Linked DNA regions of Rhinolophus ferrumequinum. The protein of the gene in region 1 interacts with the protein of each later gene in a biochemical or structural test. Links are inferred from orthologs where the notes say so. Each region holds a gene or a part of one and is shown on either strand. Other genes may lie near its edges.

The links.
Region 2: the proteins of MYH9 (region 1) and S100P interact in a biophysical measurement, tested with the Homo sapiens proteins (2 studies listed by IntAct). The link is inferred for Rhinolophus ferrumequinum from reciprocal best matches to the Homo sapiens genes MYH9 and S100P.

Annotation. Positions count from the first base shown.
Region 1 is NC_046293.1:10,277,077-10,293,068, reverse strand, and holds the start of MYH9 (myosin-9), read right to left. Parts: upstream 7,524-15,992; 5' UTR 7,340-7,523; intron 6,755-7,339; exon of another isoform or gene 6,647-6,754; intron 1-6,646. UniProt on the Homo sapiens protein: Cellular myosin that appears to play a role in cytokinesis, cell shape, and specialized functions such as secretion and capping. Required for cortical actin clearance prior to oocyte exocytosis. Promotes cell motility in conjunction with S100A4.
Region 2 is NC_046288.1:84,343,522-84,359,428, reverse strand, and holds S100P (protein S100-P), read right to left. Parts: upstream 6,066-15,907; 5' UTR 5,985-6,065; coding exon 5,847-5,984; intron 3,631-5,846; coding exon 3,490-3,630; 3' UTR 3,346-3,489; downstream 1-3,345.

The DNA.
Region 1 (15,992 bases):
CCTGGCAGAGAAATTTGGGATCAACACCCTCATGCGCAATGGGGTGGCTCTTAAATATTACAAAATAGGCAGAAACTTGAAAATGGTTCCCTGCCACCACCTTTCTCACCCTGAGATTCCCAGACAAGTACCTTGCATCCACGGTTTATAAAAGGGAGAGATCGTTAACTAAATGTCACTCCAAAGCTTTGGCTGCCGGGACCTCCCAGTCCCCAGGTTTACGGGCAATGGCGCCAATGAGACCTAAACACCACTCGTTCAACAAGGACCAGGCAAGAACCTGGGAGCCAGAGAGGAAAAAAGATGCTGCCTCTGACCTCCAGGTTCTCACAGTCCATTAGGTTCTACAATCTTCTCCCCCTTCCAGACCAGTTAGATTAAGTCACCCCGACTGTTCCAAACGCTTCGTCTTTATGTTTATCAGACAGGAAGCTGCCTTGTCCAGCCCAGTGACTTTGTAAAACACAGGAAATGCGGCAGCTTTTAAACACAGACAACTCTAAATAAAGGTGCCTCTCTCTCCGGCTTGGGGACAGCCTTTTTTCAAAGGCTTGAACCAGCTCAGACGAAACAAGTTGAACTGCGCTGTGTGGTGGGAAGGATGCAAAGGTCGCAGGCCTTGAAAACCTCAGCATCCAAGCCCAGGAAATCTTCCAGCAGGCCCCTCAATCATTTCAGTCCCCACATCTTGTTCTCAAAGGGACAGGGTTATTAGACAAATTTAAAATCCTTAAAACCCGAACACCTATTTCCTACCACCTGATGATGTTGGTGATAACATGAAAAAAGGAGGAAGAGGAAGGGGAGAAAAAAAGAACTGGAACAATTTGCATATATTTCTATGCGAATTATGACAAGTCTAAAAAAGCAGCCATCTCCACGTGCAGATGAGGAAACAGGCTCCAGTGTAACAGGTGGTAGGAGAAACGGCAAGAATCTGGTCCCAGGTCCCCCTGACCCCAAAGCCCGTGTTTGGTTCCCTCTACTATGAGTTTTGTACTGAAAATACAATAATCAATCATCCACGGCATTAAATCACTTAAAATTACTAGCAATCAGGACTGGCTCCTGGACAGTGGAAGCCAGGGTCGCTCTCTGTAAGCCGCCCCCCCCCCCAACCCCGTGCCTGGCTCTACCCCATGTGAAATATTGATTTTTGAGCTGTGGGAACTTTCAGCCTGAATGGCCCTGTCCAACTGGAAAGAGTTCAGAGAAACCCGAAACACCTCCCACCCCATTTCTTAACCCTCGTGCCCCGCCACCAAAAAAAAAGAAAAAGATTAAGGGTGTGGAAGAATAGACTCTTGAGGAAAGATTAAAGGAGTTGAGTATGTCTTGCTTGGCTAAACAGTATATAAAAGGGATGATAACAGTTCAAAAACACTTTTAAATAAGGCCACATGATTTTGAAAGAAAGGCAACAGGGTTGAGTGAAACCAGGGGCCAAAAGCTTTCTTCTACCAACTAACAGATGAGCTTGGGCAACCACTCCTCTAACTGGGGGAGAAAAATTACACTATCCCTAAGATCCTTTCCAACTCAGGCATTCCCTAATTCTAAGCAAATTCAGTAGGGAGGGTTTTACTGTCCTGTTGATTTTTCTTTTAGAAAAATCACTTAGAATTAGAGTTAAAATGAAAGGAAAAGAAATCTAAGACACAAGTTCCCAAATGTAAATGCCCATGGAAGTGATAGGGGGGCCTCCCTTAGTCCTCCGGGCAGTACTGTAGGGCCCCAAGGACCAGGACCCCTGAGAAGCACCAAGGCAATGATGAAGGTGGGGGGAAATCAGCTCCACCTTCAGCTTCCCCACAGGCCGAGGCCCAACCTGCCCAGGCAGGAAGCCACACCCTTCAGGGGCAACTTCCGGAAGGGCCTGTAAAGCTCCCTCCAGCCTCAGGGGGAAGGTTCCCGGTGGAGCAGCCACCAGAGCTGGGGAAGGAGGCAGCTACAGAAGGCGCCACCGCGAGACCCGGAGGCTCAGGCTGGGGAGAAGCTCCCCAGAAGGCCTTGTCCTCAGCCAAAGGCCAGCCACGAGCCTCTTGTGGGCTCAGCGCGCTGTGCCCCATTCTGGGTGCTGAATCACTCCAGGCTGGAGAAACTAGTCAGCAGAATGGGGGCCTGAGAAATTCCAACAGAGGCCTGCCTAAGTTCCTTTTTAAAGAGAAATGCATCAGACACAAGAGGGCAGCTCCCCTCCTGCTTCCCAAATATTTGGTACCATCAAAGCACGAAGTGGGGGCGGGGGTATAGCCAGCCTCCAGCCTTCAAACCCATGTGGTGGTAGGCCCATTTTAGACCCAGGCTCATTCTGTATACGCATGTGTGACTCATGCCATTCCTCCAGGAGGCCCGGAGGCAGCCTGGCAGGGACACAGGCCTGCCCAAGACCCTAAAGGGGTCTTCCGCTGCTTTTGCCACGGAAAACAGCCCACTCAGCAGACAGCAGAGCTGGCAGCTTCTCCAGCACCCACATCAACCAAGACTAGACCGCCTTCCCTGAGAGAATGGAGGCCCCCCCCAATTCAAAATACCTTTCTGATCACATTTTCTCAGGAATTTGGGCTTTTCCACTGTTCTTAATACACAAAAACCACAGGCCAGATGTCTGACGGATAACTGGGGACAAAGTGGGAAGGGGCACACCAGTGGTTGCAGTGACCCCAAGTTTAGAGGACCCAAGAGAATAAAGGCCTGGTGTCGACTTCTGTTCAGGGTGGGCTCCCCAGGAAAAGACCTCGGGGGATCTGGAGCCAGGGGAATTGTGGGAAACCTGGCAAAAGGTTATCCCAAAATACTTTCCAGACACACTGCAGGTTTCCTCTTCTCATACAGCAAAGAAAAAGCAACCATCTACCATTTTCCAGCATATGAGGGAATAGATCAGAGTAGACATTTGTTTAAGGGGTTACTCTGGTGATATGACATCATGGAGGAAAAAACAGTACCCAAATATGTTCCAACCACAAGAACAAGTCAGTCCATTTTTAAAACCTTTCCTCCTTCCTTGCATACAGTAAGCACTCAATATGAAACTTGGAATCTAGAGCAATGCATTTGAAAGTTGAGACCTACGAGACTGGCCAGATAAGTAATAAAAATACGAAACTTTTAAGTTTTTGACTATTTTAGGGAAATACGTATAAAAAGGCATTTAGTGAAATGAAATGCTCAGACACACACACCCCGGCCTCCACTCCTGCTTCCTGGGTCCTTTCTACAGACAACCACTATTCCCAGGGTCTCGGCATCTTCCCGTGCAGAGCTCAGGTGACATAGCATATTTCACACAAAGGGAACACCATCTATACTACTTTATCGTGTCGAGTTTTTTCCACTTACAACATACCTTGGAAAGCATGCCATATCACTACATCTAGATCAGCCTTATTTTTTTCAGGGCTGTAAGGATTCTCACTGTACAGGGGTGCCATGATCTATTGGACCCTTTTGATAGACAGTGAGCTTGTTTCCTGTCTTTGTCTACGCCAATGCTGCAAACAATATCCTCACACCTTTTGCACATTTATCTGTGGGATGCATTCCTAGAATTCAGACAGAAGGACTATGCTTTGACAGATACTGTCAAACTACCTGCAAAAAAAGACAGTTGTTACCACGTATGCTCCTCCCATCAACGGGGCATGAGAGTACCTAAGAAACTTGGAGAAATTAACACGCCTCAATTTTTCAGTTCCCTCGTGCTCTTGTGCATAACTAGTGAGCACATAAACTGGTGTGATGTCTTCATACGCGATAATGGCACTTGCTACCGAAATCAAATGTTTCCCCAGCCAGAGCTGGAAGTCAGGTCTCCAGATACTCAACTACAATGACCTTTCCATGCCACCCTTTGGCCGTGTCCTAGATCATGGGAAACCATGTTTTAGAACTGAAACCGCAGTTGCTTTGCACACCCTCTGCCCAGGCCAGGGCCCTGGACCAAGGATGCTCAGCATGAGCTCACCACCAAGTGAATCCAAAAGTATCGGCAGATGGGCCCCAGAACCACTTTTGTTACCACTTGGGCTTCTGCACACACCCAAGCACACCTTTTCAGAAGCAGAAAGATCACTGAGCCAGGAAAACCATCTACCCCTCCTCGACTGTTTCCTCCCCCTGACAACCCACGGAGTTAAAGCTGAACATTTATATATTTTCTTAAAAAGATCAGGCCCTTTACATACCTTATTTCTTTTTGTTCTCGCATCTAACCCTGCACGGTAGATGTCACGATTCCCATGTTACGGGTAAGGAATAGGAGGACACAGAGGACCCTGAGGCTCGGGAAGGTTCTGTGACTTACCTAAAGGGTCGTAAAGCTAGGAAGTGGTGGGGTCAGGATCGGAACTCTGCCTAGTTCCAAAGCTCAAGACCCCACTCTTCCCAGCTCTCAGAGCGGAATTCTGTAAGTCACAGGAGCACTGCTTCCCGGGGGCAGCCAGGGTTCCATTCTGCTGTCACCAGAGGACTTGAGCCCAGGGGCCCAGGGCACCAAGGGTTAAGGCTCATCAAGGGTTAAGGCCGGGAGGCAGAGACTCTGGGGCTGCACAAAGAGAAATTGCACTTCCTGCCCCTGCGGGCAGAGATGCTGTTTTATGCTCAGCAAATTAGGATGTTTGTTTAATTAAGACGACACACAGATTTTGTTATTCTAAATATTTCTGGAACACGATGCTTGGGAGGAAGCTGTTAAAGCAAGGGTTTTTTTTCCCCCTTTGCTTTGGGTTTCTGTCTCCCCCTCCAAGAGAAGGGTAGGGCCCGCCTCCGAGGGAAACAACAGCCAACCCCTCCTCTCCTTTTGAAATAAAGATGTCAAGCTGGTAAGGGCTGTCTTAAGCACTTTACTGAAGGATTAGCTACAAGAGGAAGTGAAGAAAGCTCAGCTCGCCTGGTTTCTAGCAATACCCTACCAGGCTACACAACAATGCTGCATTTTTTGAATGTGCTTTTCTCCTTTTAAAAAGCTAACAGATCCTTGTTTTGTTTTTTCTGGAGCAAGAACAGGCGGAAAGGCAGGCTGTGATTAACATGCGACCTTCATCCTGCAAGAGGGAAGTTGTCCCATCTCCAGCCCCTTAGGTTAAAAAGTTTAAAAATAAAGAACAGAAAGCCGGGGCCCTGACCCTCTCTTTCCTCTCCCCTCATGCGCCCTTCTGACAAGCAGCCCCACAGAATACACCCCTCAGGCTGCCCCTCCCCAAGCAGAGCCTGCCAATGGGGCACCTGGATCTGCCCATAAGCACCGCCAGGACTTGCTGACAGTGAAGAGTAGAGCTCTTTGGTGTCACCCCGCAGACATCTGGGGGGCACAGCGGCTCTCAAATTACATCGAGCAATCTCTTGATGCTTTTAATTGCCCCTCAATTATCCACTAAATGAGTCCTCACTTTCCAACACCCAGTGCTTGCCCTCAGTTTGCCAAACTTGCAATGTGCAACTTCCTCGAAGCAGCTTCCCTCCTGGCCCCAGACAGAAGTGGCCCCTCTCCGGAATTCCTCGAGTCCTTTGTCTGTGGCATGCTTGGGACCCTCATCACAGGCTGCCTTTGTACTTCAGTCATTGGGCCACTATTTCCCCTTGAGGAATGTAAACTCTCGAGCCTCAGGATGGGCTGGCTCTTTTCTCCCAATCCCAACGACTCACAGTACCTTTCTGGGGTCTCTCTCATCTTCACCTCACAGGACAGTCATCTACAGATTTGTCTCCGCTCTCTCCTAAGCGTCCAAGGGCAGGGGCCAGGTCTTACTCAACCTCACACCCCCACCACCTGGCAGAGTCCCCAGCACCGAGAAGCCAGTTAAATATTTGCTCAGTTACACATCTGTGTACCCACCTCTCACCCCTAGCAGCCTGGTATATAAATTGACTAATATTAATCAAGCGATTGTCTAAACAGGCCTGAAAGCAGCCTCCCTCCTTCCCAAAAAGGAAGTCAGCCACCAGGTGAGTTACCAGGCGGGCCTCAGACAGTGGGGTGAGAAACGGCCACAGCATTGCAGGAAGCCCGTAGGGCTCTCTTCTCCCTCCAGTCACCCAAGTTCCTCTGAAACCCTGTAAAACCCAGGCCAGGGCGCAGTGGACCGCGAGCGGCCAGGCCTCTCGAGCGCCCCGAGGAGGACGCGCCGTCCCCAGGACGTGGGACTTCCCAGGAACCTTTCTCCTCACACGGGCTAGGTGGGGCCGCAGACAGCAGCCCTGGCACTCACCCTGCCGCCACCTCAAGACAGCCGGCAACCTTCTCCTCGTCCGTTTCCATGCGAAACGGTGGGGCTCGCTGGGGGGGGAGGGGCTGCGGTCCTGCCCTGGGGGTGGCCCCAGGACAGCACGGCGCGAGCACCCCCGCACAGGGAAGTGCGGGTGGGGGTGTAGAACACCCTGGATCGGGCCCACACAGCAACCATGCAACAGCCCAGGCCTCGTCCTCGAGGAGCAGCACCCAGCTCCCTCCACTCCCACCCGGGCCGGACGCCCCCAGGTGCGGCGCAATCAGGTGCGCGCCTGGACCCAGCCGATCGCTGCGGGCCCTCCTCTCGGGGCAGAAGTCAGAAGTCAAAGGTGGAAGGGTTGTGGGAGAGCGGGGGAGTCTGTCCTGCCTGGCGGCCCGGTCCCGCGGGGTCGCCCTTCCCCGCGCACCCCTCCGCACCTCTCTCGGTCCCCTCGCGCCCGCTCGCTCGCAGCCCAGCGAATGAGGAAGTCGGGAGCGGAGGGCGGAAACTGAGCCGAGTGCAATGTCTGCAGCAGATTGTCCGATTCTGACTCAGGAGGACGCCCTGACAGCTGCCAAACGGTCCCCGCCTGCCCGTTACCTCCGTTTCGAAAAGGCCTGGAAACTTCCAAAGCAGCCGGAGCCCCGTGCCCCCCACCTTGCCCCCACCCGTTTGGGTCGAAGGGACAGCGGCTCCCCGGAAGGGGTTAAAAAGTTTGCCCAACTTGGGAACTGGGCGAGGCGAGGGCGGGGCGCGTGCCCGGGCAGCAGGGGGAGGTCGAGGCTCCTGGGTGCCCCGCCGGAGGCGTGAGGCGGGCGGGGGTGGGGGAGACCGAGGGTTTCCGGGGAACGCTGGCCCCGAAGCCTTCCTCTGCTCCCCAAGGCCTCGCTTCCAGAGGCGCTTTCCCCGAGAGTCACGCAGGGGTCCCGGCGCCCCTCAGGGAAGGATGCGGTATCCCGGCCCAGCCCCGCCGCGTTAGCGCCGGACCGCGCCAGTAGCCGGCCGCGCGGAGGCCGAGAACCACACGTCGGTCGTTTCGCCCCACACGCCGCGAGTCCAGTAGCCGCCGCCCCCGCCGCCGCCCCCGCCCGCCTGCCCCGGGTTGGGACCGGCCGGTGGGGCTTGCTCACCTGAACCTGGATCTGCCCCGGGGAACAGGCGCTGCTTCTCCCGAGAGGGCTTTCTCGAGCGCTCTAGCGACGGCGGGGTGGGGCGAGCGCGCGAGGCGGGAGCTGCAGCAGGTCAACCTGGCTCAGCCTTCCGTGCCCTGCCCAGGAACCGCGGTGATCTGCGCGCCTCACCGCACCCAGCTCGGCTACTCGCCGCCTTCCCGCCCCGCCCTCTCAGCCGCTCGCCCATTCTCCGCGGCTCCGGGGCGGAGCCTGAAGGACGCCCCCGCCCCCTAGCTGTCTCACCCACTCCAGCTTGTTCCCACTCTTGATGGACAGATATGTTAGCCTGTAAAAAGGGATGGGCGGAGCCTATGGGCCCAAATAAGTGGGGATTCATCATCCCCCCACCACCACACTCTCCACCTTCCTCCGCGCTTCCTAGGCGGGAGCCCCGCCTCCTAGGGCGGGTCCAACGGACAGCCAGGTTCCAGGAGGACGATTGACACAGAGAAAGTCCAATGAGGAGGAGGAGGCTCGCAGGGATTTTTTTTTTTTTTTTTTTTTTTTTTGGTGCATTGCCTGGGCGGGGTCGAGGCCCGGCGGGAGTGGACTGGAAAGGTCCGGGATTCTGACACCCCGCCCCCGCGAGCTGTTTTCCCTGTCCAATGTCATCCTACCAGAACAGAAATTAAGTACCATATATGGGAAAAGTGCTATTTTACATAATTATTATGGCCTGTGGGGCGAACAAGGACTCTGCCCGGGATCCGTTGTGGAAGCCCTGAGTTCGATTCTATAGTGTGGGCACGCTGCCGTCTTTCAGCCTCCAAACCTTTGCTCAGACGGGTTCCCTCTGTCTGGAAGGCACCTCCAAGCCTCTCTTTACCTTCATGTGATTAACTCGCACACTTCCTTTTAGGTATTTGTTACAAAATGTTTTCTTGGTTTTTTTTTGTTTTTCAGGTAGGCAAAGAGTACTTTTTTTGTTGTTACTGCCCATTACAAAATTAATTTTTTTTTAATTTTTAAGAGAATTTTTATATTTATCTTTTAATTCACCTGGAATTTATTTTTATTTTGGAGTGAGGAGGAAATCGAATACAATATTTGCAACAGCCAGTTGTCCACACACCATTTTCTCCACTGATTTCAGGTACCACCTTCATCACCTATCCAACTCATACAGCATACGCTTCAATCTGTTTCTGAGTTGTATCCGTTGATCTTTCTGTGTGTTCCTGAGCCAGTTCCACAATACTTTGATGACAGTAGCTTTCTAATACATTTTATATCTAAGAGGGCAAATCTCTCATTACTCTTTCCTTTTGGACTCTCCTTCCTATGACGACTAAACTCTTCCAAATAAACTTCAGAAAAAGTTTATGACCTAAAGGCAAAAGAAAACTGGAAAAACATTTTGCTACGAAGAATTACTACCAACAATATATAAAAAGTTATTCTCAGTCCATAAGAAAAAGCCCAAATACTTCAAAATAAAAATGGCAAAAAAAAAAAAAGAAAGAAAAGAAAAAAGAAGGGAACAGGCAATTCAAAAAGAAGAAATCTAAACTGCCAATAACTATAAAAAAAGAAAAACAGTCATCAGAAATGCAAACAAAACGACATAGGATGCCATTTTTCACCTATCAACTTAAAAGAAAAGAATAAAAATGCCCACTGTTGGCCAGGTTTAGAGATATAGATGGGAAAGTAAATTAATCAATTTTCTTTTAGAATCCATCAATAAAAAATTGGAAAAGTGCACAGATATGGGTTTAAAAGTTCTTTTCAACATTGTTGATAGTCATTAAATTTTATAAGTGTACAATAGATTGATTAAATAAATTTTGATACATCCATATGTTGAAAAATACCCAGAAATTCATTAAAATTTTAATGCAGATTTGTATTTACTGATTTAAACTATACTAAGCAAAAGCAAATTTTAGAATGCTATTGTAGCAGGATTTAATTTATTTTTGTGTACTCTGTGTGTGTCTGAGAGAGAGCGCGTGAGAAGTTGAAAAGGCTTTATAACAGTGTAAATAGGGCAGAAGAATTGTGACTGATTTTTTCTTTTGCTTATCTGTATTTCTATCATATATGTCTTACACAATTTTTCCAAAAATGGAAGAAAAACACTCACTTCAATGTCACCTCTTCCAAAATGTCTTCCCCGACCCTCCAGGGATCCAGAACTAACAGGAGGCTTGGCATAGAATGGTCCTTAGTGAACGCTTCAGCAGGACTCAGAGAGTACCTGTTTCCTTATCTTCAAAATGGGCGTAATCACCAGGCCTTGCCCAGCCCTCAGGACTGTTGGGAAGAGCCCAGAGACTTGGACCTGAAAGCAGTGTGCACTACGACAGAGCATTATCTTCTTGTTCTTGTTGTTGTTGTTAGTACTCAACAGAGTGTTATGGAGAACAATCATTTCCATTTTCTTCAGGAGCCCCAGCCTCCTAGCACCACCCTCTTCCAGGGAAATGAGGTCACTAAGAAGATGGAAGTCCTCTGTTGCCCGGGCCCTGAATTCTCTCCTTGCCATCCACTAGCCTAGATGCATCCATAACTAAGAAAGCCCTCCTACTTGCTGTCCAGCCTCACCATTCCCCCATCTCCCAAGAACCTGCACCCTTGATAGTGTCTATTCTTGTAATAGTTTAAAAAATATTTCATCTATTTTGTCTGAGTGTTAAAATAGTATTATGGTTGGTATAGAAAATACTAAAAAGAAAGAAAATAAAAATCTCCCAAACCTTACCACCACAATATAAAAATTATTAACAGTTTGTTATTTCCTTCAAATCTTTATATAACCATATTTAAAATAAAATTATACAGTCACCTGATTTATTATAAAGGTGCCCCTGCAAATAAGTATGGAAAAGATGGGTTTTTTTTGTTTGTTTGTTTTTAAAGATTTTATTGGGGAAGGGGAACAGGACTTTATTGGGGAATAGTGTGTACTTCCAGGCCTGTTTTCCAAGTCAAGTTGTTGTCCTTTCAATCTTAGTTGTGGAGGGTGCCGTTCAGCTTCAAGTTGTTGTCCTTTCAGTCTTAGTTGTGGAGGGCGCAGCTCAGCTCCAGGTCCAGTTGCCGTTGCTAGTTGCAGGGGGCACAGCCCACCATCCTTTGTGGGAGTTGAACTGGCAACCTTGTGGTTGAGAGGATGCACTCCAACCAACTGAGCCATCAGGGAGCTCAGCGGCAGCTCAGCTCAAGGTGCCTTGTTTAATCTTAGTTGCAGGGGGCGGAGCCCACCATCCCTTGAGGGAGTCGATGAATTGAACTGGCAACCTTGTGGTTGAGAGCCTACTGGCCCATGTGGGAATCGAACCGGCAGCCTTCGGAGTTAGGAGCATGGAGCTCCACCCGCCTGAGCCACCGGGCCGGCCCAAGATGGTCTTTTTAATGAATGATGCTAGGTAAACTGCACAACCACATGTGGAAACATGAATCTTGACCTCTACCCTCATACCACTGACGGAAATAGTTTACGATGGATCAGAGATATAAATGTGAAAAGTAAACAATAAAACTTCTAGAAGAAAGCATAGGAGAATATTTTCATGACCTTGAAGTAGACAAAAAATTCTTAAACAAGACCCCAAAAGTGTAAACCATAAGAGACGATTGTTAAGTTGAACTTAATGAAAATTAAGAACTCTGCTCATCAGAAGGCACATTTTAAGCAAGTGAAAAATCAAACCGCAGCCTGGGAGAAAATGCTTATAATACATAGATATAACAAAGGACACATATCTAGAATTTATCAAGATCACCTACGTTAACAAAAAGACAATCCAATTGTTTTAATGCACAAAGATTTGAATGAGCACTGTATAAAATAGAATATCTAATTAGCCAGTAAGCAAAAGAAAAAAGTGCTAAACATCATTAGTTATTAGAGAATGCAAATTAAAACCACAAAGAGATAGCACTATCCCCAACCAGAATGACTAAAATTAAGATATTATGTGTTGGCAAGAATGGGGAGCTACTGGAACTTTCATAAATTGCTTTCTACAACCACTTTGGGAAAGTGTTAATCCGTGTGGCTACTAAAGTTGAATATACGTGTAATTCCCTATGATCCAGCAATTCTACTCTTTTTTTTTTTAAACTTTTATTTATTTGTGTTTTTCCAGGACCCATCAGCTCCAAGTCAAGTAGTTGTTTCAATCTAGTTGTGGAGGGCGCAGCTCACAGTGGCCCATGTGGGGATCCACTGACAACCCTGTTGTTGAGTATAGCGCTCTAACCAACGGAGCTAACACCCACCTCCTCCCACACACACACAGCAATTCTTCTCTTGAGTCTATACCCAACAGAAACGAGTGCTTAGGCCAACTAAGGCATATACCAAAATGTTCATAGCATCTTAACGTGGCCGAAAACGAGGAGGAGAAAAGTCTATGAAGAGTAAAATGGATAAATTGAGTACGTTCATTCAACCGACTATCACACAGAAATGAAAAGAACAAACTAGTGTTATGTGTGAAAAACAGGATGAGTCAACTTTCCTTGAACTGCTGAATGGATAAACAAAATGTGGCATATCCATACAATGGAATATTATTCAGCAAATAAACAGAACGAAGTACCAATACACGCGGCAACATGGATGACCTTTCAATAACATTACGCTAAGTGAAAGGAGCCAGTCACAAAAGCCCTCATGTTGTATCATTTCATGTATTAATATATGAAATGTCCAGGGGTGTCCAGTTAGCTCAGTTGGTTAGAGCGTGGTGCTGATAACACCAAGGTTGCCAGTTCGATCCCGACATGGACCACTGTGAGCTGTGCCCTCCTTAAAAAAAAACAAAAGAAATGTCCAGAATAGGCCAATCTATAGAGACAGAAAATAGATTAGTGGTTGCGAGAGGCTAGGGAGAGGAAAGAATGAGACGTTACTGCTAAAGGGTATAAGGGATATTTTTGAGACAATGAAAATGTTCTGAAATTAGACCACAGGGATGATTTCACAACTCTGTGAATATACTAAAACAACAAACAAAACACACTGAATTGTATGTATACTTTAAAAAGTCACTTTACTTACATCCAATAAAGCTGTTATTTTTTTTTAATGGATGAATCTCAGACATACTGTTGAGTGAGAGTTTAGATATTAAAAAAAAGCAAAAGTAAATACTATATGATTCCATTTTATGCGACGTTCTAGAACAGGCAAAATCAATCTCTAGTGATAGATATTGTGCTCCTTGGTATTTCCCCAAAGGAGTTGAAAACTTATGTCCATACAAAACCCGCACAGGGATATTAATAGCAGCTTTACTCATAATTGCCAAAACTTGGAAGCAACCAAGATGTCCTTCAGTGGGTGATGGATAAATAAACTGTGGGACAGCCAGACAATGGAATATTATTCAGTGCAAAAAGGAAATGAACTATCAAGCCATGAAAAGATTGGAGGAAATTTAACTGCATATGACTAAGTGAAAGAAGCCAGTCTGAAAAGGCGACATTCCATATGTTTCCAACTGTATGACATTCTGGAAACGGCAAAACCATGGAGACAGCAAAAAAAAAAAAAATCAGTGATTACAGGGGTTGGAGGGAGAGAAGGAGGGATGAATAGGCAGAGTACAGAGGCTTTTTAGGGCAGTGAAACTATTCTATATGATACTCTAATGGCAGATATTTTTCATATTCTCCCCTCCTCATCACTAGATTTCTCCAGAGAGTGAGCAGTCTGCATCAGGTTCTCAGATACTTCACTTTGTTCTCACTCACCTCCGGCCTCTAACTCTCCATGTCACTGCTGTTCAGAGATCAGCAAGCTAAATGCCTCACTCAGGCCTTGCGTTCCCAGGCTGTACTGAAACTGCTCAACACCGCTCCCCCCAACACAGGCTTTCCCAAAACCCCCCAGAGAGACCAGCCACCTTCCTTGTTCTCCCTCTGATGATTGCTCCCCAGCCCGGTGGCCAGGGTGGGCATATCCCTGGAATGCACAGGATTCTAAAGGCATTGTTTCTTCCAGTTGGTTAGTATATGTGTTATATCTGTTGTTAAATACTTTAAATATACCTTTCCCTGAGGCTCGCATTTATTGAGTGTTTTACCAGGTGGCCAGCACTGTGCTAAGTGTTTTTGTGTAAGCATTATCTCATTTAAGCCTCACAATGCCACTGTGAGGTTAGATATGAATATTATCCCCCATTTTACAGATGAGGAAGCTAAGGCACAGAGAAGTTAAGTGACTTGCCAAGTTCATACAGCTTGGAAGTGGCACAGCCAGATTGCAGCCCATGTCTGCGGACTTCAGAGCCTAGGTGCTAACCACACTATGGCACCCACACTTCTCAGCTCTCTTCTCTTCTCCCTTCTCGGTCTGTACCCTCTTTCTTGGGCTTCTAATCCAATCCCCCACTTTCAACTGCAACATCTATGGGAGTGACTTCCGAATCCTTATCTCCAACCCAGCCTCACCCTGACAGGGAGTCTTTTATTTTTTAATTGTGGTAAGATACACACATAACATAAAATTTACCATCATGAACCATTTTTAAGTGTCCAGTTCAGTGGCATCAAGTACATTCATTCTTGTGCAACCATCAGCACTAAAACTTTTTATCTTGCAAAACTGAAACTGTATACCCATCACACACTAACTTCCTACTCCTCCAACCCCACCCTAACCCAGCCCCTGGAAAACCACCATTTTACTTTCTGTTTCTATGCACTTGACTACTCCAGGTTCCTCACATCAGTGAAATCAGACAGTATTTGTCTTTTTGTGACTGGCTTACTTCACTTAGCATATTATCCTCAAGGTTCATCCATGTTGTAGCATGTGTCAGAATTTGCTTCTTTTGAAATGCTGAGTAATATGCCATTGTATGGTACACCACACTTTGCTAATCCATTCATCTTTTGATGGACACTTATGCTGCTTTCACGTTTTAGCTATTATGAATAATGCTATGAACATGAGTGTACAAATATCTCTTCCAGACCCTGTTTTCAATTATTTTGGTTATATATTATTTTGGATTTCCTGGGTTATACGTTTGCTCTATTTTTAATTTTTTGAGGAACTTCCATACCGTTTTCCACAATGGCTGCACCATTTTACATTCCCACCAACAGTGCACAAGGGTTCCAATTTCTTCACATCTTTCCTCACCAATCTTTGTTTCCTGGGTTTTGTTTTGTTTTTTTGATAGTAGACATGCTAATTGGTGTGAAGGGGTATCTAATTGTGGTTTTGACTTGCATTTCCCTAATGATTACTAATTGTTGAGCATCTTTTCATATGCTTATTAGTCATTTGTATATCTTCTTTGGAGAAATGTCTATTCAAGTCCTTTGCCCATTTTTGAATTGAGTTGTTTGAAAGAAGAAAAAAGAAAAAGAATTGAGTTGTTTGTCTTTTTGTTGTTGAATTTTAAGAGTTCTCTGTATATTCTGGATATTAACCTCTTATCAGATATATGACTTACAAAGCATTTTCTCCCATTCCGTGAGTTGCCTTTTTACTGTTTTGATAGTATATTCTGAGGCACAAAGTTTTTCATTTTCATGAAGTCCAGTTTGCCTATTTTTTCTTTTGTTGCATATGATTTTTATTCTTTTTTCTTACGCTGCATAATTTTTATGCTAAGACAATCCATCCTAGACTAGACATAGAATATCTTTGAAAGGATACCCAAGAAGTGAGTAACAGTGGTTTTTCTTAGAAGAACTGAGTGGCTAGGAAACGGGTAGAAGAGGGAGCATTTTCACTAAAAAAACAAAACAAAACCTTTATATCTCTTAAATGTAGACTCATATGAACATATTATCTATTTAAATAAATCAAATTTAAATATGAAAACATAGGCTACAAATTGAAATGTAGATATAAAATAATACTCATTTTTTAAGTTAGGAAATATAAGAAAAAGCATAAAGAAAAACATCGAAATCACCTATAGTTCTTTCTCCCAAGATTCTCGGTGTGTTTTCCTATTGTTCAGTGTCTAATGATGAACTCCCACCATTCCCATTCTTGCCAAACCTGTCTGCACGCCTGACTTCCAGGTCTGCTCAGGTTTCCAGCCTCTCCATGCCAACCAGACTCAAACCCAGAGGCCTCCCTTGTCCTCCCTCTTCCCCAGCTCTGGGAGCCTCTGGTCTTCTCACCACCATCTCACCCTGCCTTCCTTTCCTTCCACCTCCATCCCCCTCACACCCCCGCCCAACTCTGGTACTTGCCCTCACCTCCTCCCCTGCAGACCACGACCTTAGCTTCCCAGCAGAGCCCTCCCCCGTTGTCTCTTCCCACTTCCACTGGTATTTTCTACGTCTGGAGCTGGATCTTCCTGAAGGCCAGCTATAAACCTCAGCTCAGCACAGACTTACTGAGCTCTCGTTAGGTGCCAGGCATGGTGCTAAGCACCTGGCACGCGCGTTGTCCTATTACATCCTTATCTCAGTCCTTTGATGTGGGTACTATTATTCTCCCTCATTTCACAGATGAGGAAACTGAGGTTCAGAGACATGACGTCATTTACGCAAGACCATACTAGTTCTCTCAGGTGCTAATGAGAACACTGGGATTCTCATTGCTTCGGAACTCTCAACCACCCATTGTTGTCGTCACGTTTCTCTCCTTAGTCTACAGAGGAGAAAACTGAAGCACAGAATGTTATGTAAC
Region 2 (15,907 bases), on another chromosome or scaffold:
TGCTTATAAAATAGCAGTGCCATCCACTATTTCTGTCCTTTCCATTTCTTTTCACTACCCGACGTGGGGTATTTGGGGTGTTGTCTGACTTCTTTCGGTCGAATGTCAGCCCCCTGAGGGCAAGGCCTCTGTCCACGTGTGAAATCCTGGCACTTAGGCCAGTGCTTGGCTGTCACGGGGTTGGTGCTTCTTAATACTCCTCGAAATGAGTTCCAATTAGGTATGTCAGTTTAATTGACACTTAATTGTGTCTGCTCACCAGTGCAGAAGAGAAGTTTCTCAGCCGGGACCTCAGTGTCATTCTTGACACCTGCCTCCTCAGCAGCCCCTCCCGTCCTTACATTGATTCTACCTCCAGAGCACACCTTGGACTCACCCAGCTCCCTCCAGCTACTCCAAGCCACTCGCGGGATAGTCCCCTCACTGGCCTCGCTGCTTGCAGTTTTACTCCAGTCTGGAGTGAGTGGGGTTATGTCAGTTCCCTGCTTACAACCGTCGAAAACTCCCTTTTCCCGCAGATGTTTTTATTTACTCATCAATGTTACTTAGCTCCTGCTGTATACCAGGCACTGTTCTAGGCACCAGGAGATATAGCAGTGACCAGACAGTCCAAAAGTTCTGCCTCGAGCCTGCTTCTAGAAGTGGAGATACACAGTCAGCAGGATAAATCAAATAGCATGTTACCTAGAGATGAGTGCTGGCATTTGTTCGACATTCATCGTTCATAGCAGACAGGGCACCTGACTTGCCGTGCTCAGCCAGGAGTTAGCCAGGCCATGGTGGTCCCAGCACCCACGGGCAACCCACCTGAGGAAGGTGAAAATGCACCATCCTTGCTGGGGGGACAGAGCTTAGCCAAGGACCAATTCTGCAAGTCATCAGCAGGGGGCGCTGGCGACAGGCAGAAGGTCAGGCTCCCAAGGCTGCTTCTGCCGGAAAAAATCAGAAACAAGCTACTGCTTGTTTTCCTAAGCATGATGGTGGAGACACTTGACCTGGGTTAAATACTTTGTTTTTTTTAAAAAAGTCTGGAAGCAACCCAAGTGTCCAGCGATCGATGAATGGATAAGCAAAATATGGTCCATCCATACAATGGACTATTATTCAGCCTTAAAAAGGAAGGCAGTTCTGACACCTGCTACACCAACGATGATCCTTGAGGACGTTATGCCAAATAAAATAAGCCAGACATAAAAGGACAAACACTGATTCCACTTACGTGAGGTCCCTAAGGTAGTCAAGTCACAGAGAAAGTGGACCACTGGTTGCCGGGGGTTGGGGGTGTTGGTTAATTTAATGGGTACCGAGTTTCAGTTTGGGAAGATGAAAAAGTTCTGGAGGTTGGTTGCACAACAATGTGAATGTTACAATACAATATACTTAACAATACTGAACTGTACATTTAGAAATGGTTAAGGTAGAACATTTTATAGTATATATTTTTACTCCTCTGCCCTAGGAATCCTAGGTTAAAAATGGAATTCATTTTGGGGAAAATTTCTGAGCTTAAGACAAAGATTTATGCATGAAAATATTAGCTGTAGCATACTTTAAAAAAAAAACCCAAAAAGTAAGAACGGTATCTTTAATAATGAGCAAAGAGTGGTACACTCATTCTAGTGAATTCTGTGCAGCCATTAAAAACTGCTAGTTAGAGGAGGGGGAAGAGCTTTTGCTTCACCAGGACCTGGTTGCCAGGTGCCTCCAGGAAGCTGTGACTCCAGCGGTGACTGTGGACTTCACCCACAGCGCTGCGCGTTCTGCATCCTCCTCGGGACGCCAAACAGAAGTGGGCTGACGGAGAACCACGGGAGGCTGGTGGCTGGGGCAGGGATCGCTGTCCAAGCTGAGGTGATCTCTCAGCTGGAGGAAGGGGTGCAGCCAGGATGAGATGAACTTGCACGGTCCAGGAAAGAATCTTCAAAGCAGGGCACTTGAATGGAGGCCGTCCTGTGGACTGACTGACAACAGAAAGACGGCCCTGTTGTCTTCACGAGGAGAGGCTGGGGCTTCTGAGGACCTGTCGGAGAGGCCCCAGGGACACTTGAAGGAAGTGGCATGTGGCCATTTGCATACTCCAGCAGTCTGAGTTCTTAGCTGGAAAGCACAGAGTCCCCCCCGTTTCTCCCCCCAGGCGATGATGTAGAAAAGACTTGTCTCCTGTAAGATGGTGAGAAGTGCAGGATGGCTGAGATCTGGAGAACTAGGCTCAGGACTCCGTAGTGACGGCCATGCTGCAAGGCTCCTGCGAGTTTTTCCACGTCCCCACTCTTTGCATCAATTGCCCAACTCCAAGTCTGGGGTGAGGGCAGGGTCTGGGGGATCCCAGGTCAGGTGATTCGCCCCAGCTATAAGCGAGGTCAGGGAGCAAGGGCCGTGGTGCTAGCCGCAGCTTCTATAGGCTCTGCCTCCTAACCAGGTGATTCGTCATTCACAGGATGGTGACTAATTTGTGAAGGAGGAAGGAAACAAAAACAATTTCCACTCTGGTCCACACTTCCAGCTCCCCCATGTCACATTCACTTGACTTTTCACACCTTATTTACATGTGTGTATCTGCTCCTATCTAACCTAACGCAACTCTCCCTCTTACAAAAACCCGAGCCATCCCTTCCCCGAGGGACAAACCAAAGGACAAACCAAAGCCTTATATCGGTGTGTCCACTGCCAAGTTCAGGATCTCTCAGTGGTGCCCATTTTTGCCCTGGTGATGTCTTCAAACATAAGAAAAGCCTTCACCTGTTGGGTATTCAAAATGATAAGAGTCTCAAAACCAGGTCAAATTGACCTACCACCCAAGACCCCACTTGAGTCACGTTGGTTGCTTTCTAGAGTTTCACAAAGTTGTGAACATCAGTGATGTGGCCAGCTGTTCACTGGTGGTGATTCTCATCCTCACAATTCATTTTTTCTCGAGGTCTATTACTGTGTTTTATGGTTTTGTGGCAAGAAGAAATAGTGTACCATTAGAAAGATGTTACCTGAAAAAAACGTGCTTGGAGAGATGGAAGATGGAGGCCCAGGGTTTGATGAGTGGTTACATGACTGACTGATTGAATGGATGGATACACATCCCACAATCCTTCCTTGGATCCACTCCAGGGGGCTCACTCTGTGCTGACGAATAAACATAAGCAGGGACTGTGCCCTAGCCATCAGCTGGCACAGGGTGGGCACTCAGGAAGTGGCCCGTGCATGGACTCTTACCAAGTGACCTGTGCTGTTCCATCTCCATTCTCCACTGGGCAGACAGTGAGCATGAAGTGACAGATGAGTGAGTTTGTTGGTGTGTGTGGGAGGGGGTACTGAGGCTTTAAGGAAAGAAGCAGTTTCTCTGAGACCAGGATCATTTCACGAGCATTTTATTTATTAGAGGGCCATCCGCTGGCTCAGCCCCGAGAAATAACTGCCTCCCAGGCCTTTCTGGAAGCCAGGGGCCCTCTCCTGGTGCCCTCTCCGGGAATCCGGGGCTACAGAGTATCAGTCAGGTCATGGCTGCTGGAAGTACTTGTGACAGGCAGACGTGAGTGCAGCCACAAACACTATAAACTCATTGAAGTCCACCTCGGCGTCTCCATTGGCATCCAGGTCCTTGAGCAGTTTGTCCACGGTGTTCTTGTCCCTTCCACTCTAGAGGAGACAGAGGACCAAGGTCAGCGATGAGGGTGCCTGTGCAGGGCCTGGGCCTCAGCCAAGCCGCACCCTGGGCAGAGGGAGGGAAAAGCGAGTTTGTCCAGCCTGTGCTGTCAGCCGGCTCGGCTCGTGCCAGAGCCAGCTGTGCGCAGCAGACCCGCTGCTCCTGGAAAGGACAGGCGCACTCAGAGGTCGCGAGCTGCTCTAGCGAATGCAATGCAGGAGAGTTTTTATTTTATTTTTATGTTTTGAAGGGGATTGTCTTTGGATTGTATAATGCGCTTTAAAATGATTCCCAGGGTACACACTCACTCGTGTTCCCTCTGTGTGCACCTCTAGCTTTGTGGGTGTTGCCTTTTTAAAATTCTTCCCGTCGCGTTTACCAAACACCCATCTCGTGCTGGCACGGAGCCAGCTGCTGTACATAAACCTCCTCTAGGCCTCACAAACACCAGGCAAGGAAGGTGTATCACCCAGTGTTACAGATGAAGAAATAAGGCCCAGAGGGTGGAAGGAGACACGGGGAAGAAGGGCGGATCTGGAGTTGAGACTAGGCCCAGAAGGACAGAGTCTCTGCGCTCCCCTCTGCTCGGGCACCCGGGTCGGACCTCAAGGACCCAGGTCTTTGAGAGGGCCAGGGGTGGGGGGTGGGGTGGGGGTGTCCCTGAGAGTCTGCTCACATGACAGTGCCAGAGCACCGTCTTCAAGAAGAGACCACGCACCACCACAGTGCAGATCCGAAAAGCAGCAGCAGGGGGCGCTGACGACCCAGGCCCGGAAGCGGCAAATTCTATAGTAATCAAACTGCGAGCGAACGGGTGAGGTGAACGCCTTGCAGCCATCAAAAGGGAGCTGCAGGACATTTGTAGCCGGACAGCCACCCAGTGTTTGTGAAGCTCCGACTGGGCCAGGCGCCGGGCTGGGCATGGAGGAAACGGCTAAAAGTGGACACTGCTGAGCGCAGTGCTTCTTCCACTTTGCCGGGCGTCAGCCTCGGCTGGAGGCTGGGCTTGTTGAAGGGCCTGAGCCCCCCCGCTTTTGCCAGGTTTCCCCTTGATTCTGATGGAACCCAAGTTTGAGAATCCCGGGCTTAGCTGCCGCTTCCCAGGACCGCGCGTGTGGGGCGGGCGTTCAATGAGCACTGAAGCTGGAGAATGTTTGTTATAACGTTAAAGTCAAAAGAAATGCACTTGCATATAAATTAGAAATTCATTCACATCAACTTTCACACGGGGAAAGGCTGGAAAGAAGAGGGAGAGGGAGAACTGTGCTGGGGTTTCTTTCCTCTACAGATCCGTATTTTACATTTTCTACTATAAACATAGTTAAAATAGAGAAAAGCAAATGAACTTTATTTTAAAAAATGTATCTCCACTGCATTCACATCTAGAGAAAGAGAAAAATACTGAAGTGCTCAGTGTCTTTGAACTGATACTTAAGGCTGAAAATGTCAACCTTGCATTTTCAGGAAATGCCTTAGAGGGCAGGTAGGTGAGTTTGGTGGGGCAGGGGTGGGGAGGGGGGGGGAGGGAAGGGACAGGCAGGCTGAAGGGGAGGGGAGCAGGAAGAGGGGCAGGCAGAGGAGGGCAGGCCCTTTGTTTAGCCTCCCTGGGGAGGCCCCCTGGGGAGGCTCCAGGCCCAGTGGCTCTGGGCAGACAGGTGCCAGGATGGGACGTCCTCCCATCCTTATTCCTGTCAGTCCCCCTAACACCTGGCAGCAGGGCACCTGGGAATGGGGGGTGGACAGCGAGCAAGCAGACAGTGGAGCAGGGATGTTTGTGACCAGCAGCCTTGGAGGGGGGCCTTTCTGAGGGACCAGCATGCCCCCAGCCTCAGAGATGGCCCTGGATCTGGTCCCTGTGCCCCCGCTCCCCATCTCCCACAGCTCAGGTTCCCATCCCACTCCCAACTAAATTGGGGCTCCCACCCTGTTTCAAGGATTGCCCTGGCCGCATCTCCTTCCTGCTCAGAAGCTCCAGAGTCCCCAGTCCCTGGGGCAGCAGATCTGTTTCTCAGGGACTGGAGCTGGTCTCCCCTTACTGCCGCTCTCCTTTAGAGCAGTTGGGTCCTGACCACTTCTGCCCCTTCTGCCTGCCATGCCCTTCTTTCTCCTCCCCCCACTGTCTTCCCTGACCCTCGTCTTGTCCCGGGAACCAGCTGGCCCTGCCCCAGGGGGAGCCCCCATCCTGTCCCCCAGGGCCCTGCGCCCTCACCTGCAGGAAGCCAGGGAGCTCTTTCTCCATGAGCACCTTCAGCTCCCCCTTAGTCAGGCTCTGCTTGTTCCCCTCGGCCCCCGAGTACCGGGCAAAGACATCAATGATCATGCCCATGGCAGTCTCCAGTTCCGTCATGGTGCCGGCTTCGGACCAATCACGTTGCGTCTCTGCACGTTGCTCCTGCAGGCTGCACTGGCCGAGGTAATGGCCCACCGGAGGGCTCCTGGTGCTTTATAAGGCCCAGCTTCGTATTGACACAGGGTGGGACGGACAGGGCTGGACTGTTCAACAAACCCTGCCCCTCCCAGTCTGCATTACTCAGTTCTGAGGAAGCCATTGTTGCAACTTCCTGGTTCCATTGTCTGGAACCTTCCCCCAGGCTAGGCCTGGGTGCAGGCTACCTTGGTGAGCCCATATTTTACTCCGCTTGCCTGTGTTTTGGGGTGGTCAGTGAATTACAATGGTGTCCCCCACCGTGGGGGACCAGTGGGGCCTCTGGGGTTCAGTGGGTGCCTGGTAGTGTTTGCTGAGTGAGTAATGAATGCGTGGACCTGTCCTCTAGCCCCTGTCCTTATGGTTATCAGATAGGCCTGGCATCCAGTGGGCGGACAGAGAAAGCGTTTCAGTTGTAATGTTGGAATGAGCAGCTGCTGTCACCTGCTTTTCAGAACACCCTGTGAGTCATTGACCATCTGATACCTTGGCCCGCTCCCCAGACCACAGCAGTTACAGGGGTGAGGCAGGGGGAAGCCTCCTCTGGGCCTCTGCCTGTCAGGACCACCCTGAGTGTGGGGTCTAGGTCACGTTTGCACCCCTCCCCCAGCTGCCACTCTCCTCTCCTTGGTGGTGCCCACACACGGAGGTGTTTGTCGCTGGGGGAGCCTGCAGGTCCGGTCCCTGGCTGCCTGACATGGATACAGGGCGAGAGCCTGGACAGAACTTGGAGGGCAGGGTCGTGGGGGGATGAAATCAGGCCACACACACGCGGCTTGGCACCAGCCTGGCACTTCACAGGGGCAGCTGAACTCTCAACAGCTGATTTTCCCTTGGCCATGTCGCCTTCTCCCAGGTTTCCCGCAAGGGAGGCTTATCTGGGAAAAGGGAAGGGCCAGCTCCACTCCTTTGCTGGGCAGCTCCCTCTTAGAATGACATTCCAGGGCCCAAGTCCCTGGGCTACCGCCTCTGGAAGGAATCCTTCAGCCCTGACCTTACGGTGCAGCAGAAGTGGGGAGCTAACCCTCACGCCTTCATTTAAACTTGAAGCTTTCACAACTGTGGGAGCTGCTCCCCAGCACCCTAAAGTTTCACCAGGGCCGCTCCTGCCGGAGTAACTCACCAGCAAGCCCTAAGGGAACGGTGCGGGCCCTTTGGAGCCCCTACTTGGAGGATGGGCCGTATTCCCAAGAGAGGGTTATACTGAGACCTGTGTGTCAGACACCTCCTTAGAGGACAAATAAATGGTTCTGACACCCGTTAAAACAGAAGGAAGATGCTCAGGACTTTGCAGTAGGAGTCACGACTATTGAAATATGGGGGAGACCGGGCTCAACTCTGGGTAGGACAGGGACAGCTGGTCATTTATCACCAATAGAGGGGGTCAGTGGGTGGAAAATGACTAAGAGGAGATGGCAAGGATTGGGGGATTCTTGCTAGTGACAGGCCAAGGACTTACACGTCAAGGCAGGCTGAAGACAGGAGGGGGAGGAGCCCAAGGAGGAGAGCTTGGAGGAGCCTGACTCAGATTTGCTCCAGGAGAGAGTCCGTCAGACCCAGAGGGCAGCTCCCAGACCTGCTGGCGGAGGACCTGGGACAGAAAAGCGTGGGCCGGCCTGGAGCTGCCTCCATCTTGGTCATGAATGTGTGTTTTTTCCAAAGTTTCATTTTCTGACTTGTTGCAAAAGTCAAAGCAGGCCTACTCAAAGACCTCTCTTGGTGGAGATCTTTGTAGGGATTAAAAAAAAAAAAGTGGTTAGATCACCATCGATAGAGCGAACATAAACAGAAAAGAATAGCCCACTAATGACCTCTGCCAGCAGACAGTCTCCATGTGGGCAGATAACTAATATCCCGGACCAGGTCTTAACTCTATAAAATTTAACAGAAACTATTTGTCTAGAAAGCTAGTTTCATCCCAAAAGGAGATTGTCAATTGCATTTTGCAAAAAGGTCTTCTTTCTATCCCCGACCACGTTGGGGTCATTTTTCTTCCCACCCTGCAGGTGTGGGCACAGTTGCTGTTGCCGGGGTCTCCTCTGCAAATTCTGTGGGGTCCTGGGGTAAAGGAGCATCAGCAAAGAAGCAGATCGGAGAGCTACAGAACCTGGAGGGCTGTCATCTTCATAGCCCACACCTTCCAGAGCTGGGAAGGGCTGGTTACTGGACCAAAATCTGTGTGCCAGACGCTTGGAAAGGCCAAAGCTCAAAATAGCAGCGTTTGGTGTAAGGAAAGTTTTATTGAGAAGACGCCAACTGATGGGAGCGCTAGCGGTGCCTCAAATCCATCTTGCTCGCTGGACCCGGCTGAGGGTTTTTAAGGGGCTGGGGGCACAGATGTGCGGAAATGCTGAAGGGGCAAGTTTTCATGCAGGACCTTAGAACAGGGCCTTTTACACTAAGGAGTGTCAACAACGGGTCTTCCTGGACAGCAGATCCTTGACTTCTGAAAGAGTTCTTGTGTTCAAGTTCCAGGTTTGTCCCAGTCCTCTGGTTCCGTGGGGGTGGGTGGGTGAGACGACTTTGGTTCTGGGTGCAGCTGGAGGCCCAAGTTCTCTCCCTTGCGCATGCTTCGGCTGCATGACCCCTGGTCCTGGTCTGTTGTCTCTGAGAAAGAACTCAGCACCTCATCAAATAGGATAAGGACCATTCTGAGCTGCTTCTGTGGTTATAGGTGTAAGGCTTGCGGTGAGATAATGAGGCTAGTCAGGCGGGTTGAGAAAATTAGTGCTTTATTCTGCGCTTCCGGGCGAGGTTCACCGGTCTGCAGATGGGGGCCAGCGAAGTTGCACCCAGGGTAGAGGGAGGGAGGCATATATGCGGTTTTTGGGGTGGGGGTTTGCTGTGTGAGGTGGCAGATGAGCAGGGCCCCCTAGCGCAGATGGGGCAGGAGCGGCTGTGTCTGGAGTTGCTTATCGCACCAGTGGTCTGCTGCCTTTTCTGGGAAACTCCAGGGGCCTCAGTCTCTGTCATGCGGGGAGGGGTCTGACTTGGCAGAGGGGTATGACTCGGCTCCCGGCTGCTTTGACCATGCCCGTAGCTGACCTAACAATAGGGTGTCCCCCGCTGGCTCCAGCGGAGACAGTCTGGACGGGCAAGGAAAGCGCTTCTGCCTTCAGCACGCCCGCCTCCCCTTCCCCAGCTCACTCTCCCCCATGTCATCTAACAACTGGTGCGATCGCAGAATGGAGAAGTCAGAGAACTTTGCCCTCAGCAGGGCCTCTAGCCTTCCCGGGCTCCTGCGCCCAGTCCCCCACTGCCTGCGGGCACCATGCATCTGGCCACCCAGACACCTGGGCGCCGGACCCCTCCCACGTCCAGTGTTGAGAGATCAGAGGAAGAACTGGAATTACCAGTTTCTTCCACATTACGCAGAGTAAAGAGGAACCACTGAACACAAAGGGGCCAGGTGATCGCCTCGCAGGAGGCCGTGTCCAGGAATTAAAGGGTTGCCCTGCTTCTGCCAAGGGGATGGACGGGCGGGAAGTATCTCCTGCGGGGCTGGGCCTGTGGTGGGATGGAGGCTCTGGGACAGCCGTGGTGTGTGGTGGGAAGGAGAAGTGCGGCCTGGCGGGAACGCTCCCTAACCTGTGGAGTCTGGGCAGATGAGGCGTCTGAGGAGGATATTTGTCTCAGCAAACATGCCCGAAGCCCCCTCGTGTGTGGTCCCAGGTCAGCAGAGAGCCCAGCCAGCCAGGCCCCAAACCACGTTGGTGCAGCAAGTTCCTGTGTCACCAGGTCCCTGCACTGGGCCAGGGGAACACAGTTCCTGACCTCAGGGGGCCCCAGCCAGAGAGGGGGACGTGAGGGAGAGGTGACTGGAGGAGGGGAGAAGCAGAGGGGCAAGGAGGACCCAGGCCACACACAGCAGCTAAAGGATGAAGTGGGGCTTGCTGCTTGCAGGACGCAGTGCTGTGGGGCGTGGGGCAGCAAAGGCCCCCGGGCATGAAGAACTGACACTCTGGGGACGGAATGTGGTGTCGGCTGCAGGCCGGCCTCACCTGGACCTTGTCCCATAGGCCTGGGCCTCCCAGCGCTGGCTGCACTGCAGAGCCCCTGGGTGGCTTTCATGCCAGCTCTGTCTGAGCCCCAGCCACTCAGAGCTGCCCGTTTCTTAGGGCTGGGCTGGCCCAGCGCCTCCCAGGTGAGCCTGCTGTGCAGCCAGCTTAGGACCAGCCAGCTATCTGGAGGCTTTCCTGCTGGGAGAGATAACCGGATTGCCCTTTTGAAGCCCACTCGCTAGACGGGGATGAGGAAGGTGAGGCTGGAGGCAGGGAGACCTCAAGGAGGCTGTGCAGGAAGGAGCCCTCCAGCCACACCTGGTTCAGGGGTCCTGCAGCCACCTGCCCAAGGGACATCTGACGGTGATGGAGGGAGCAGAAAAGGAAGAGGAGGGGGCCTCGCTATCTGTGCAACCTCCACACTTTGCAGAAGGGGAAACCGAGGCTCAGAGCAGGGTCGTTGGGGAACAAGCCCAGGCTCGCTGACTCCTGTCCACTCTCATTGCACAGACAGCTAGCTCCAGGAGCAAACAGGTTTTACCCTTGATAGCGTCTCAAATATTTGGTGAGGGAGGAGGTTGAGAGAGTTGAGAAATTGAGTTTCTCATGCATGAGCTGAATGGCAGGGGTCACGTACCATGAAGCTGGGAGGGCAAGGACCTTGTTTTGCCCTTGGCACACAACCCCTGGGGAAGGCGGCAGTGAGCCCTGGACCCCAGGCGGCCGTTTGCAAACCTTTCTCCAGGCTAGAACGCAAGCCGAGTCTCCCTCGCAGCTTGTGGCGGCGGCGGCAGCCCTTGGGGTTTCCTGGCTTGCATCTGCGTGGCTCCAACTCCTGCCTGCATCACATGGCCTTTTTCCCTCTGTGTTGTGTCTCCTCTTACCATAAGGACACCAGCCATATTGGATGAAGGCCCCTCTACTCCAGCATGCCCTCATCTTCACTTACTCCATCGGCAATGACCCTACTTCCAAGTAAGGTCCCTTTCTGAGGTGCTGGGAAGGACGTGCATTTTGGGGGACACTATTCAACCCAGCCCACTGGAGCAGGGCTCAGTTACACCACCCCGTTGCTGGACCATAAACGCCCTGCAAGTGCAGAAAGCCATAGGTTGACTTCACTTTGATTCCTGCTCTGTCTCTTATTTGTTGTGTGACACCTTGGACAAGTTCCATAACCTGGGATCAATTTTCTACGAAATGGTGATAATAATCGTGACCCCTTGGTGTGACCCCTGGAGAGCATTCAAAGGTGTGGAGGATGTAGGATCAACTGCAGTGGGGCACGGAAAGCCCGGGAGCGGATGGAGACCCCACAGCACTCGGCACTAGTTCCCAGCCCTCTCCCTTCTTCCTTCCGTGTCCCTTGTCTTCTCTGCACCACACGCTCTAACGCACAACTCTGTCTGGACACTGAGAAGCAATGACATGACAGTGTCACGCCAGAGGCCCGTGGGAGCCCCGAGGAAGGCTTCCGGAGGACGTGCTGCTTAAGATGAGACTGGCTGAGACAGAGGGGCTTCTTTAGACCAGGGTCTTCAAAGTGTGGTCCCCAGGCCAGCAGCATCTGCGTGCTCGGAATCAGAAACCCTAGGGCAGGGCCCCCGGCAGCAAGGAAGGCTGGGAGATGGAGTGGGACAAGCTTCCAGGTGATTGACACATGCTCCAGTGTAAGAACCACTTGTCTAGACAAAGGGAGGGCATTCGTACCCCGGGGACCAGCCTATGGAGAGGACTGGAGCTGGGAGAGAGCGGGCACATTTGCAGACTGGAGCAGGCGTGTGGCAGAAGCTGTAAGGACGCAGCTGAGTGGAAGGTGGGTGAGGCCGGGCAGGCAGTCAGGAGAGCTGGGTGAGGAATTTGGCATTTGCCTGGAGCTGGAGATCCGTGACCAGAGGTGTGGGTGGAGCCCCTTTGGTGATGGCAGTAAAATAGTAAAGGCGGGCCAAGGGCCTTGAGGGAGAAAGCCCATCCACTCAGAGAAGTCGCAGCTCGGAGTGGCCTCCTGCCATCTTTGCAGGCCTGGAGTGTCCCGTGCTGCAGCCTCCGGATGCAAGGGGCTTCACTTTCCCACCTTAATAAACCGTTGCTGAGTTTTCTTCTCATCAGGACTTCCAGGTGACAGTGTACTGGAAAACCCATGACAGTTTGGGGAGCTCAGAATAAAGTCCATGCTGGTTGAGGAAAAGGGGACTCAGGTCACATTTCTACATGTTCAAACTCAGGCCTGGCTGACTCCAAACTAAGGTGTTAATGTCCTTCAAATGTCCTGATGGGATCCTCCTACCACTAGCATGAATTCTGCCCTTGAAGCAGAAGCACAGGGGGTCCCAGGAGGTGCTGAATGGTGGCAGGAACCTGGGCACGGGGGCAAGGCTGCCTGGCCTTGGCCCCACTGACCTGCTCAGTGACCCCAGGGAGTCCCTACCCCTGCAGGACTACTTTTCTCATCTGTAAAACGAGGGGTTCAGATTAGACTTACCCGCAGGTCTCTGAAGCCCACATTCTCAGGCCAACATGCCTGTATTCCTTGGGGTGCATGATGAACTAGGACACCAGGATTTTAAAAGGATGTCTATTTAGACCGAGAAATTTTGAGCTAAAGCAGGAGCCGTGTGGTGTACTCCTATGGTCTCCACCTCCCAGGCAGCGCCCCAGCTCGCCTTGCCTGGCACGGGCCCATGTCCCCAGGGCGGTTCTGCCCACCCCTGGGCACCAGAGTGTTCCCAAGCTCTGGCCAGCTCCTGGCCCAGCTTAGCAAACATCTGGAGGAAAACCCTGATGCTAGGTGTTGGCCACGTGGGGAGCCAGATCTGGCCCCAACCCTCCATGCACGGTGCAGAAGGGAGCAGGGCGGGGGTGGAGGGGTGGGGGTGGGGGGAGAGAGGCCAGTATGCAGCCTGGGGGTGCCATGGGCACTTGCCCCCGCACCTTGGGAAACACCAGAGCCAGGGGCTGAAATTCTGTTCCCAGGAGAGCTGGATTGGAGAAGCTGCCTTGGACCTAAGGCCAAAATGGGTCTTATCCCTCCTCCTCCCAGAATTGAGTCTGGAGGTGCAGACTCTGCACCGGGACAGGCCTGCCAGCTGGAGAAGGGGGCCCGGCCACCGTCCCCCCTAATCTCAGATTCATCGACAGCCCCAGCTGTGTTCAGGGCAGTGCCGGAGGGGTGCGCCTGGAGGTTCTGCACTTCGTTACCCTGTGTGTGTTCCCCATGTGCCCCCACCGGACACTGTGAAGAACAGTGGAAGGAAGTGCTCAGCCACAGTTCATTCCCCTAAGTGCCCAGCATTTGCTCACACACTTGTCACTTGTCACCTCAGTTTCCAGAGGTATACAGACAGAAACTGCCAGGACCTAGACCCTGGCGCCCTTTCCAGGCTTCCAGGAATGACTGCAAAGGGGCCGAATGGTTTTTGAAGGCTGTTACCATTTTACCTTTAATCTTTATTCAAGTCTTTTATTATAAAATGTTTATAATTTTCTTCATTAGTTTTTTTAAATATAGGGAAGTATGAAGTGTGACCAAAAAGTACAATGAACGTTTAAATTTTAACAATGTTACGGTAAAAGACACACTGCCATTAATCCCCCTCAAAATACTCCCCCTCACTTCCAACACACTTATCCCATCTTTCTTGCCACTTTCTGAAGCAGTTCTGGAAGTCCTCTTCCGTGAGTGTCTTTAGTTGCGTTATTGTAGCTGCCTCGATGTCCTGAATCGATTCAAAACATTTACCTTTCATGGTCATTTTGACTTTGGGGAAGAGCCAGAAGTCGCATGGTGCCAGATCCAGGGAATAAGGAGGATGAGGACACTCTGTAATGTTTTTATTTGACAGAAATTGCCGTACCAGAAGCAATGTGTGACACGGAGCCTTTCTGTTGTGATCACAAAATACGGTGAGTGCTGCTGCCGAGGGCCATCCAATGGAAAGGCAGGGACCTTCAATATGGGAAGCAGCACATTGAACCTTAGTAACAGTAACAGTATGTGACAAGTTTCAACTTGTTCAGTGCAGTCAGTCAGGCGTGAGCTCCGGTTGAGAGGTGTGTTTTAAAGTGTGCCATAAAGCATCTTCCATCATGACAAGGCTCTGTGTCACACATCGCTTCTGGTACAGCAATTTCTGTCCAACAAAAATGTTACAGTGTGTCCTCATCCACCTTATTCACTGGATCTGGCACCGTGTGACTTCTGGCTCTTCAAAGTCAAAATGATTCAGGACATGGAGGCAGCCACGACAGCGCAACTAGATACTCACGAAAGAGGACTTCCAGAACTGCTTCAGAAAGTGGCAGGAATGATGGGATAACTGTGTACGAAGCGAGGGGGAGTATTTTGAGGGGGATTAATGCCAATGTGTCTTTCACTGTAATAAATTTTTTAAATGTAAACATTCACCGTATTGTCTGATCACACCTCGTATAACAACAAAAAATGGACCCTGGTAACATTGGACTCTGCTAACTTGTGTTGACATTAACAAATAAGCCTCATGGCTCACTTCACACCCTTGCCCTTCCATTTTCTACCACCATACGTTTCCCTAACGCAGAAAGACCTGCGTTGTTGACCTGCGCAGACCTTCCCAGGGGTCCCCATCACTGTTTCTCGTTTTCAGCAACCCACTCATAACCTCACTCCAAGTGTGGGACGTTCCTGGGCAGTACAGGCCTCGCTTGGGAGCGCGTTAGAAATACTGAGCGTCAGGTGCTGGACTCAGGACTGAGCCCTGCATGTCCGCAAGACCCCAGGGGTTCCCATGCACTTGGGAGTTTGAACAGCACCACTCCAGGGGCTCGGACAGCCAGAAGCCGCCCCCAGTGTGAGACTTCTTCAGCCAGTGGTGTATCATTTTAAAAATTAAAAATATTTTTCCTGTCAGACATTCAAATAAGTTGACTATTCAGAATGCACCAGTACCTCCCTGGGCATCAGGTACTCTAGAGGACTGTAGGTCCCATGGCACAAATACCCACAGTGGAGAATGGACACCTAAGTTCAAGTTTAAAGTCTTCTAAGTCCTAAGACCCCACAACCATTTGCCTCCTACCTGCCTCATCGCCTCCCTGTTCCCTCTAAACACCCACAAACCCTCTCCAACATGCCACATGGACTCCTGGGGCCATTCTGGACGTGTTCCGCGCCTGGGGTGCTGTTCGGGTTGCTGTGCTTATGCTTCCGGGCCCAGACCAGGAGCCACTGGGTCTGAAAAGCCTTCTCAGGCTCAGCGGGCTCCCTGCTCAGTGTTCCCACCACAGTATAAACCCAGGGTCTCCATACCTGTTTGTCTGCGACAGCCCTGGTATACTCCTGGTCGCAGACGAATTATCACTAGGGCCACCTTTCACTGTTGCAACTGCCCTGGTTTGACAAATGATATGGCTGCCCTCCACAGGTGCTCAGGCCATGAGCCTCAGGACGGGGCTGAATGCTTGCCCACCCCCGTGAGCAACAGGTCCAAAGCACACACCACACACTCACCGGTGCCCGCAACGGCCACGCTGCCCCGAGCCCCCAGCTCTCCACAGCTGCCCCCCTGCTCTCGTCCTTGTTCCAGCCCCAATTTTCAACACAGCAGCCAATGAGCCTCTTCATGTCGTCGGATCCCATCCCTCTTCTCCTGAAACCCTCACGTCACTGCCCATGTCATTCACAACTGAAGTGACCGCCCCTGCTGACCTCACCATGTCCCACTTGCTCCCTGCCACTGGGGTCTCCTGCTGCTCACTCTGTGCCCTGCTTGTCCCACCTGCCTGGGACACTTTCCCTGAGAGCCCTGTGTGTATTCCACACATCTGTCCTTGCTGAAATGTCACTACAATCAGAGATGTCACCTG